2 linked regions of the Caenorhabditis elegans genome follow. The protein of the gene in region 2 purifies or fractionates together with the protein of the main gene of each other region. This does not show direct contact. Each region holds a gene or a part of one and is shown on either strand. Other genes may lie near its edges.

Region 1 (4,350 bases), 2.0 Mb from region 2:
CTCAAGAAAAAGAAAGTATGAAATCAGTGGAACAAAGTGCCAGCGTTCGAAACGTCCAGCAAAACTTCCTGTCGAATCTCTAGATGAGAAGGAACTAAAAAATGCTGAAAAGGGAATCATGAGTTTGCTTGAATCATCACCTTCGTCACCATCGTACCTTTATCAATATCAATACAATTCTCCACAATCAATACCATCTTCTATTTATGACTCTCTCTACCCATCGTCTCCAGAAGAATATCAGATGGTTCATACTTTTCCACAAACAGACCAATTATCTCCTAGTTTTCAAACTTCGCCCACAGTCCATTATGATTTTTATAATCAGCAATATTATGACAATTCATTTCATGAAAACTATTTCCAGTCATACAATCGGTTATAACTTTCGATTTATGCTTATGTCTAGATTTATCCGGTTTCAAATTACTAACCTGTTTTTCTTTTTTATCACAACTAACAAGCTCACGTTTTATCATTCTTGAAATTTTTTCAATAAATAATGAAAATAAAATCAAAAGTGTAGAATTTGTTCTTAAAGGCGCATGAATTCATTCCAATGGGTCTCGTCGGGAGAAAAAGTTTATGGTAGCGCGTCTTGGTGCTCGGATTTTTTAATTATTTTTTTTCCATTTTAAAAATATTTTATGCTCTATGTTTGGTTATGGAAGCGACCACCGAAAAAGCCACATTCTTCAAAAATTTCTGTCAAATCTCTGGGGGAGAAATAAAATTTAAAAATCGGTTGTCTTATTCTGAAGATTATTTACGAAGAATCAAAGATGTCGATCAGTAAAACAAATCGAAAGAGAAACAAAAACAAAACTGGTATTCAAAATTCGTTGAATGAGATTTTTGACGCGAATTTAGCGAGACACTGTCTCGATTCTTTCTCAGATGACGTCGATTGACCCTGCTTCTTTTGTTTTGTTGCTATGCAGATCGTATGTCCTATGCAATAGCACCACACAATATGGGCGAAGATCAATGACACTCGTCCCACTCTTCTTTTTTCCTTCTTCAAATAGGCGGAGCATCTTTTCTCTATTTTTCCCCCGAATGTTGCCTCTATTTCTCTCTTTCTCTAAATATCTATTTGCCAGTCACCTCCTCCTCCTCCTCCATGAAACGCTATCTTTTGCTTGCAGTTTCATCGGTCTCGCCCACCGATGATGGTTGCGCGTTGTCCTGTAAACAGTTTTGTGTTGGGCTCCTCTAGTTTTGAATAGTTATGGCGCCCGCGTCCCCAGGACGAGCTTTTCGTGGCCTAGAAGCGTTTGCCTACTCGCGGGCGGTGCCACATTTTTTTTAGGAAAAAAGGTTTTGATGCCTCTGCCAATTTTTTTTGATTTAAATATTTTTAAACGAGCTATAACTTAAATAATTTCAAACTGCCGCTGAAAATTATTAAAGGCGCATGGATTTCGTGACGAGACCTCCTGGCATTTTCCTTACTTTTCGATTCCGCCCGGATCTTTTCCTCCTTTTTGCACTTTGGCTTCTTATGTAAAATCTCTTATTTGTTTAAATTTTAATTACAAAATATTTTATTTTCAGGTAATGTTGAGCACTCTTTCCAGAGGCGCCCGCTCGGTCGCTGTCCGAAGCTATTCGGCCGCTACTCTCGATGCCCACTCCCAGGTGCTCGACGAGCAGAAGCCAATGGAGGAGCAGGTCAACCCATCTTTCTACAAGATGGTCGACTTTTACTTCAACAAGGGAGCCGAGGTCATCGCTCCAAAACTCGCCGAGGAGCTCAAGTCCAACTCTTTGAGCCAAAAGGATAAGAAGAATCTCGTGTCCGGAATTCTTGGAGCTATCAAGCCAGTTAACAAGGTAAGAATTTTGAGTCTCATTAATTTATCATATTTTATTTTCTTCAGGTCCTTTACATCACCTTCCCAATCCGTCGTGACAATGGAGAGTTCGAGGTTATTGAGGCCTGGCGCGCACAGCATTCTGAGCACAGAACTCCAACCAAGGGAGGTATCCGTTATTCCCTCGATGTGTGCGAAGATGAGGTCAAAGCTTTGTCTGCTCTTATGACTTACAAGTGCGCTGTTGTCGATGTTCCATTCGGAGGAGCTAAGGGAGGAGTCAAGATTGATCCAAAGCAATACACTGATTATGAAATTGAGAAGATCACCCGCCGTATCGCTATCGAATTCGCAAAGAAGGGATTCCTCGGCCCCGGAGTTGATGTCCCAGCCCCAGATATGGGAACCGGAGAGCGTGAAATGGGATGGATCGCTGATACCTACGCCCAAACCATTGGACATTTGGACAGAGTGAGTATAAATTTTTTGTGAGCATGTGAATAATTTTGTTTGCAGGATGCTTCGGCTTGTATCACAGGAAAGCCAATTGTCAGTGGAGGAATTCACGGACGTGTTTCCGCCACCGGACGTGGAGTGTGGAAGGGACTCGAGGTGTTCACCAACGATGCTGATTACATGAAGATGGTCGGTCTTGACACCGGACTCGCTGGAAAGACTGCTATCATCCAAGGATTCGGAAACGTCGGACTTCACACCCACAGATACCTCCACCGTGCTGGATCAAAGGTCATCGGAATCCAGGAGTACGATTGCGCCGTCTACAACCCAGATGGTATTCATCCAAAGGAGCTCGAAGATTGGAAGGACGCCAATGGAACTATCAAGAACTTCCCAGGAGCCAAGAACTTCGACCCATTCACTGAGCTTATGTACGAGAAGTGCGATATCTTCGTTCCAGCTGCTTGCGAAAAGTCGATCCACAAGGAAAATGCTAGCCGCATTCAAGCTAAGATCATCGCCGAGGCTGCCAACGGACCAACTACCCCAGCTGCTGACAGAATTCTTCTTGCTCGTGGAGATTGCCTCATCATCCCAGACATGTACGTCAACTCTGGTGGAGTTACTGTTTCCTACTTCGAGTGGTTGAAGAATCTTAACCATGTTTCCTACGGACGTCTTACATTCAAATATGACGAGGAAGCCAACAAGATGCTTTTGGGTAAGTAAATTTTCGAAATTTGAATTCCTAGACTTGCGTAGAGTAACACAATGAAACGATTTGCAAGTTTTCATCTGTGATAAAATTTTGTTTAGAAACTAACAAGGGCTAGATACTCTTACGCTTGTCACACTTTTCCGTTTATTTTATGAGGAGGGAGAGGAGGCCACTCAACCGTTGTCGTGAAAATGAGTACGTATGCACTCTAGGAAACAAATTGTAAATCAATTCTTTCTGTTTAAAAATGTTTGAATTTTCAGCCTCGGTCCAAGAATCTCTCTCCAAGGCCGTCGGAAAGGATTGCCCAGTTGAACCAAATGCTGCTTTCGCTGCCAAGATCGCTGGAGCTTCCGAGAAAGACATCGTTCACTCTGGACTCGAGTACACAATGCAACGCTCCGGAGAAGCCATCATCCGCACCGCTCACAAGTACAACCTTGGACTTGATATCCGTACTGCTGCCTATGCCAACTCCATCGAGAAGGTCTACAACACCTACAGAACCGCTGGATTCACCTTCACATAAGTACCCACTTCTCACTCATCTCATGGCTCTTGTATCCTCTTTTATGACATCAAATGGCTCCAAGCCAGGTTTAAATAGCTTCGTGTAACCCTTTAGTGCCTTTTCCATAGTTTTCTGTTTCGAAACTATCTAGGTTAACTAAAGTCTAGCTCTGATCTTTTCTGCCTGGTTCGTTCTCACTTTAGTATAATTAAATATTTTATTGGTTCCCCACCCCTTTTCATCCCCACACATAATTTTTTCGTTGTTTGTTGGTTCGGGACGGTTTCGAGACGGAGACCATTCTTCAAAAAAAAATCTCAAAAATAATAAAAAGTTTATTTCCTTAAACACTTCTACATGGTCATTGCAATTTTCCAATGATCATTGGAAAAGAAATTTCAGGGAGCATTAAAAACTTTATCAGACTTGTGTCTTTCTATTTACTATAATTTAGAATTTTCGATAACATATCACTTTCACATTGTGTGCCACTATCAGCTTCAAATTTGGGAATCACCTCCACAATTGTTGCAAAATTTTCGAATTGTCTAAACGAAGTTGATGCTTGGCCGTTTCCATATCAGTTGATCTTTTCCGGCAAAACCTTCGTCGTCAAACTGATGCAATTCCTGGAGAGAATGAAAAGAAATGTTGAAAGATTAAATTGGGTGATCGTTTGAACGAAGCTAATCTGATTGGACAAAAAGAAGAAATGATAAAAGATGATAAAGACAGTTTGGAGGGAATCCCCCATTTCGGTTCGAAGTGTACGCAAATGTTTGAGGGAAATATTTAGAATTGGAGATTTTTTTGAATTTTTGCAGTTACAGAGAAATTTTGGAATG
Region 2 (5,082 bases):
GAAGCAATTTGATCTCGAGCTTCATACCCGAGAAGGCAGAAAAATAGTATGGTGATATAGTTTATAGTTTGCAAATTGGTCATATCTAACAAATTACAACAACATGTTCAAACTTTAAATGCATGGCAATGCAGGAACGCATTCTGTGCGATCAACCTATAGATTAAAGATTATTGGGATGAGTAATAAAGAGTGTGATGGGTAAACGTAATCAAAGCGTTGAAATTGTTTAACTTTAGAATCTGAAAATGAAATTATACAAATATCTTCAATGCGGCTATACTCTGAAAAAACAAATATAAAAAAATGCCCAATTGTTGTTCTAGTTCGACTATCGATTAAACTGTAATTCAAATTTTATTTATTTAAAAAGATCCTTATTTTTGGAAACTTTCCAATTTAAATTTACGTTTACTTCAGATTTGTTAGATTTTCCTTGACCCCTGTTGATAGAATGCTATTAGAGCACTCAACGAGCTTGAATGATCTTCTGTCTTCTTCAGTGTAAACCACGCGGTATCACTTCAACAGTTGCTCTTCATTTTTCTAAGTTTCTTTTTCCGAAGACAAGTTTTGTAGAGACTTTTCGAAAATTAAAGAACCAGTCTGCAGGATTTTTAAAGTATGCCTTATCAATTATTAAATAAATCTCAATGTCTAGAACTTCAATTTCAAGGCCATTTTATGATCATTTCATTGAATTCATCCTCTCATTTTTTGGAACTTTTTGTTCGTTCTGTGATCTAGGTATCAATACAAGAAAATTATACATCCTTTTAGATATAACTAAAATCAAGACCGCCCACCAAAGTGCGTTGATTGATAGATTGATAAGAAGAACTGGGAAAAGGAAAAAGAGAATTCCCACTAATAACTGTAAAGTGATAAATGACGAGGTTGTCCTTGAAATTTGATATTTTAATCTATCGATAATATACCTTTGGAGGTTCAGGAATCAAGAGTTTATCATGAAGAAATTAGTATTTATTATGCAAAAACCATATCTTACCAAAAAAGTTATCTACGTGTTAATTTGCTTATTCACGAACTTTGCTAATTAATTACAGAGATAAAACAGTATGTATTATGCTCTTTTTTAAAGTGAAAAGTTTTATAAAATATTTAAATTAAACCGAGGTTAAAGTATGTAGAACAGTTTTTGATTTACAAAACTCAATTGCTAAACTGTATAGATGAAACAAGTTACTTTGATCATTCTAACTGCATCGATTGTAGACAATTTTGTGAAGGCTGAACTACCGTAACCGTTTTTGGATATCTTCAAACGCTGAGACTTGGATCTAATAACAAACCTTTCCGCAGGTCCAAAGACGACTGCCTCACCTCCTAACTAAATCTGATTTTCGGTTGTTTTTTGGTTTTAGGGCAATGTGCTGGTTGTAAACTATATGGCACCATTTCTTTATTTTTACAACTTGGAACCTTTACATCTGCTGTCCAGCAGAAGGCCGGGGAGGTGGGCTCACGGGAAGAAGAGCTATGAAAAGACAACTGGTGTTGATGCATACACACCTCTGATGAGATACTTTCTCTCTTTTATTTTGTATATTGTTGTTGTTATTCTGTTCAATCAAAATTGAGAATATCTTGAAGAATATCTTGATTGAAAGCTCATTTTGTTGGATTAGCATTTTTATTAGTAAAATTAAAGTATATGAAACAATATGTATCCCGCAATAGCAATTTTATTCCTCAAAATGTTTCTGTAAAATATCACGCCTTCTTCCTAGTTTCCCACTGATCCGTTGTCTTGATCTCCGCCCACTCCCTATTCCACCGTCGCTTTTTGATATCCATTTATCGGTATAAATAAAACATTTTAGTTGATTCAAATTTAATTTTAATCAAATTTTTTCTGTAGAAATGTCACTTCTAATCAAAAATGGAACCATTGTCAATGATGATGCTATCTTCAAATCCGATGTTCTGGTCCTTGATGGAAGGATTGTGTGAGTCCAACTTTGAATCATGCATCTTAATGGAAAATTTGAATTTCAGGGAAATCGCTCCATCCATCCAACCAACTCCTGGTCTTGAAGTAGTTGATGCAACGGATCGTCTTGTTATTCCAGGTGGCATTGACCCACATACACATATGCAGCTACCATTCATGGGAGAAATTGCAAAGGATGATTTTCATAGGGGAACGGAAGCTGCTGTTGCTGGTGGTACAACTATGGTATTTGAAATTAAGAAATAAAAGTTTCCAACTTTTGGTTACAGATTATTGACTTTGTAATTCCAACAAAAGGCGAATCCCTCCTTGTTGCTTACGATCGTTGGAGAGGGTGGGCTGATCCAAAAGTCGTTTGTGACTATGGATTGTCGATGGCAATTACCAGTTGGGGGCCTGAAATTGCCAAAGAAATGGAAATTGTTACTGGAGCTGAATATGGTATACCAAGTTCTAGTTTTAGTAGTCCTAGTCTATATCAACTTTTAGGAATCAATTCCTTCAAGTTTTTCCTCGCGTACGCAGGTGTCTTTATGGTTCGTGACGAAGAATTCTATCAAGGAATGATTCAATGCGCAAAGTTACGTGCATTGGCTCGTGTTCATGCTGAAAACGGATCCGTCATTGCGGAACGATGTGAGCATCTTCTTTCTTCTGGTATTACTGGACCAGAAGGACACACTCAATCTCGCCCAGAAGAATTGGAAGCTGAAGCTACTTTCCGTGCCTGTACTATGGCTTCTCAGGTATTTCGGATTGTGAGATTTAAAATATTCAATGAGAAAATTTCAGGCAAACTGTCCATTGTACGTAGTTCACGTAATGTCAAAAGGAGCAGCTGCTGCAATTGCTCATCACAGAAAGAAGGGAGCTGTTGTGTTTGGAGAACCAATTGCTGCAGGACTAGCCACTGATGGAAGTCACTATTATAATGAAGATTGGCTTCATGCTGCTCGTTATGTCATGTCTCCTCCACTTTCTCGTGATCCATCAACACCTAGTGCATTGATGAAATTGTTGGCTGCGTAAGTATAGAATTCTTGGAAGTGTATCAGTGCCGTGCGGCTCTCGGCGCGAGCCGAGAGCCGGCATTTTGGAGCTTTTTCGGCTCTTGGCCGGAGCCAAGAGCCGAAAAAAATTTCCGACTCGGCGCGCGCCGAGAGCCGACTTTTTTCAAGAGCCGCACAGCACTGAAGTGTATATTTACTACCTCCAAATTAGCCAAAAATGCGATTTACACCAAAAAGGAAAACGTTTTTATCAAAAAAATTCAACTCAAAATAGCCTTTAAAAAACCGTAAATTGGGCGGCACATACTCTAGAACTTGATGGGTAAAAAACTTACGGAAGAAACAGCGCGGATTTTCCGCAGGCACAGATTCAGAGTAAGTCCAGCCCAACTGTCAGATTGCTCGGAATTTTTAATTATATTATTGTAATTTCACGATATTTTGACTTGCCCTTCCAAAGACACACGAATGTATTACGATGGGTCTAGGTGCGCAAAAAAGTTTGTGGTAGTCTTTTATTGTCCATTTTCTACAAAATTCGCTAAAACTAAAATCGTTTTTAGCTAAAAATGAAGTAATCCCGTGTACCTTCAAAGAAGAGGTCGAAATCTCGTGAAATTACGATAACTCAAACTTTCCTAGCATATTCGGTGGAAATTAGAATAAAATTTTCAAAAGAGACAGTTCACCTTTAAATTTTCAATTAAAACCCCCAACATTTTGAGACTAAACAATTTTCAGTGGAGAATTGCATCTCACTGCCACCGATAATTGTACATTTGATTGTCAACAAAAGTCTCTTGGTAAAGATGATTTCACAAAAATTCCGAATGGAGTAAACGGAGTTGAAGACAGAATGTCAGTTGTTTGGGATAAAGGAGTTCATGCTGGAATCATTGATCCTATGAGATTTGTGGCAGTCACTTCTACAATGGCTGCTAAGATCTTCAATTGTTACCCACAGAAGGGAAGAATCGCAGTTGGCTCCGACGCGGATATTGTGATTTGGAATGCGAATGCAACTAGAACTATTTCAAAAGATACACATCATCATGTGAGTTTTAGGTTTTAGTAAATTCAATTTTAATGCAAAAAATTCAAGGCGATTGACTTCAATATTTTCGAAGGAATGCAAGTACACGGAGTTCCAGAAATCACAATTTCCCGAGGACGTACTGTTTGGGCAAATGGTCAACTGAAAACTGTTCAAGGTTCAGGACAATTCATTCCTTTGGCTCCAGACTCTCAAATCGTCTTCTCAGCTGTTGACAATCGTAAGAAGGCTATGGAACCTGTGAAAATAGACCGAATTCCATATGAGCCATCGGCACTGCAGACACCTGATGCCAATGCGAACATCGTTGTGAAAGCTCCAGTCAGGGCAGCAATTCCTCCAGGAGGAGCTAGCAGCATTCAGTTTTAAATCTACTTGTAAATAATTGTTTTTTTTTTATTTTTAAAAATTCAATAAAAAAATCACTTCCAAAAAGTAACAATGCATCAAAAATTGAAATTATAACAAAAACATAACAAATCAAGCAACAATGATATTCAGATTAATTTTTCTTTCCTGCTTTTCTTTTCAGGCCGCCGACCATTCTCTTCTTTCCGACTCCTTTAGCTTTCAAAAGTGGGCGCCCTTTCTTCACTTTAGGAACTGCTGTTTTCTTTCCATTTCCTTTTTTAACTTCAGCGATTTCGTCATCTGGAACATCATCTCCGTTCTCCTGCCGTGCAGCTTCGGCAGCCTCACGAGCTCGCTTTTTGATTTGGCTTTAAAAAATTTTTATTTTTAAAGTTTTTACATTTCACGATAAATCTAACAATAAATTCGTCAGCTTAATACGCCTATAAGTGTACCTTTTAACTTTTCTGGACGACTTTCTCTCTTGCTTGAAGCTGTTGGCCAACACAATGGCCTTCTTCTCGGCTTCTTCATAATCATGTCTTGTCAACCTCTCCTTTGGAACTGGGGTCTCGAAATGTAATGGATCTTGTCCACGAGAACTCTTATCGAACTTCTTAACAAGATCATAGATCTTCTTTCTTCTCTTAGCATTTAAATGTTCTTGCTTTCCCACTTCAAATAGCAACGCT

The links. Proteins that work in one complex are often made in the same cells at the same time.
Region 1: the proteins of dhp-2 (region 2) and gdh-1 fractionate together in Caenorhabditis elegans (co-fractionation; one large-scale study listed by BioGRID). This does not show direct contact.

Annotation. Positions count from the first base shown.
Region 1 is NC_003282.8:11,951,692-11,956,041, forward strand, and holds gdh-1 (Glutamate dehydrogenase), read left to right. Parts: upstream 1-1,557; 5' UTR 1,558-1,560; coding exon 1,561-1,836; intron 1,837-1,883; coding exon 1,884-2,288; intron 2,289-2,333; coding exon 2,334-2,997; intron 2,998-3,257; coding exon 3,258-3,523; 3' UTR 3,524-3,850; downstream 3,851-4,350. Other genes in the region: tbx-36 (Putative T-box protein 36), read left to right, coding at 1-385.
Region 2 is NC_003282.8:9,976,302-9,981,383, forward strand, and holds dhp-2 (Dihydropyrimidinase 2), read left to right. Parts: upstream 1-1,820; 5' UTR 1,821-1,884; coding exon 1,885-1,970; intron 1,971-2,019; coding exon 2,020-2,200; intron 2,201-2,244; coding exon 2,245-2,416; intron 2,417-2,464; coding exon 2,465-2,721; intron 2,722-2,767; coding exon 2,768-3,000; intron 3,001-3,726; coding exon 3,727-4,039; intron 4,040-4,087; coding exon 4,088-4,408; 3' UTR 4,409-4,474; downstream 4,475-5,082. Other genes in the region: C47E12.14 (Salivary lipocalin), read right to left, coding at 1-83; rrp-1 (Ribosomal RNA processing protein 1 homolog), read right to left, coding at 4,542-4,758, 4,846-5,082.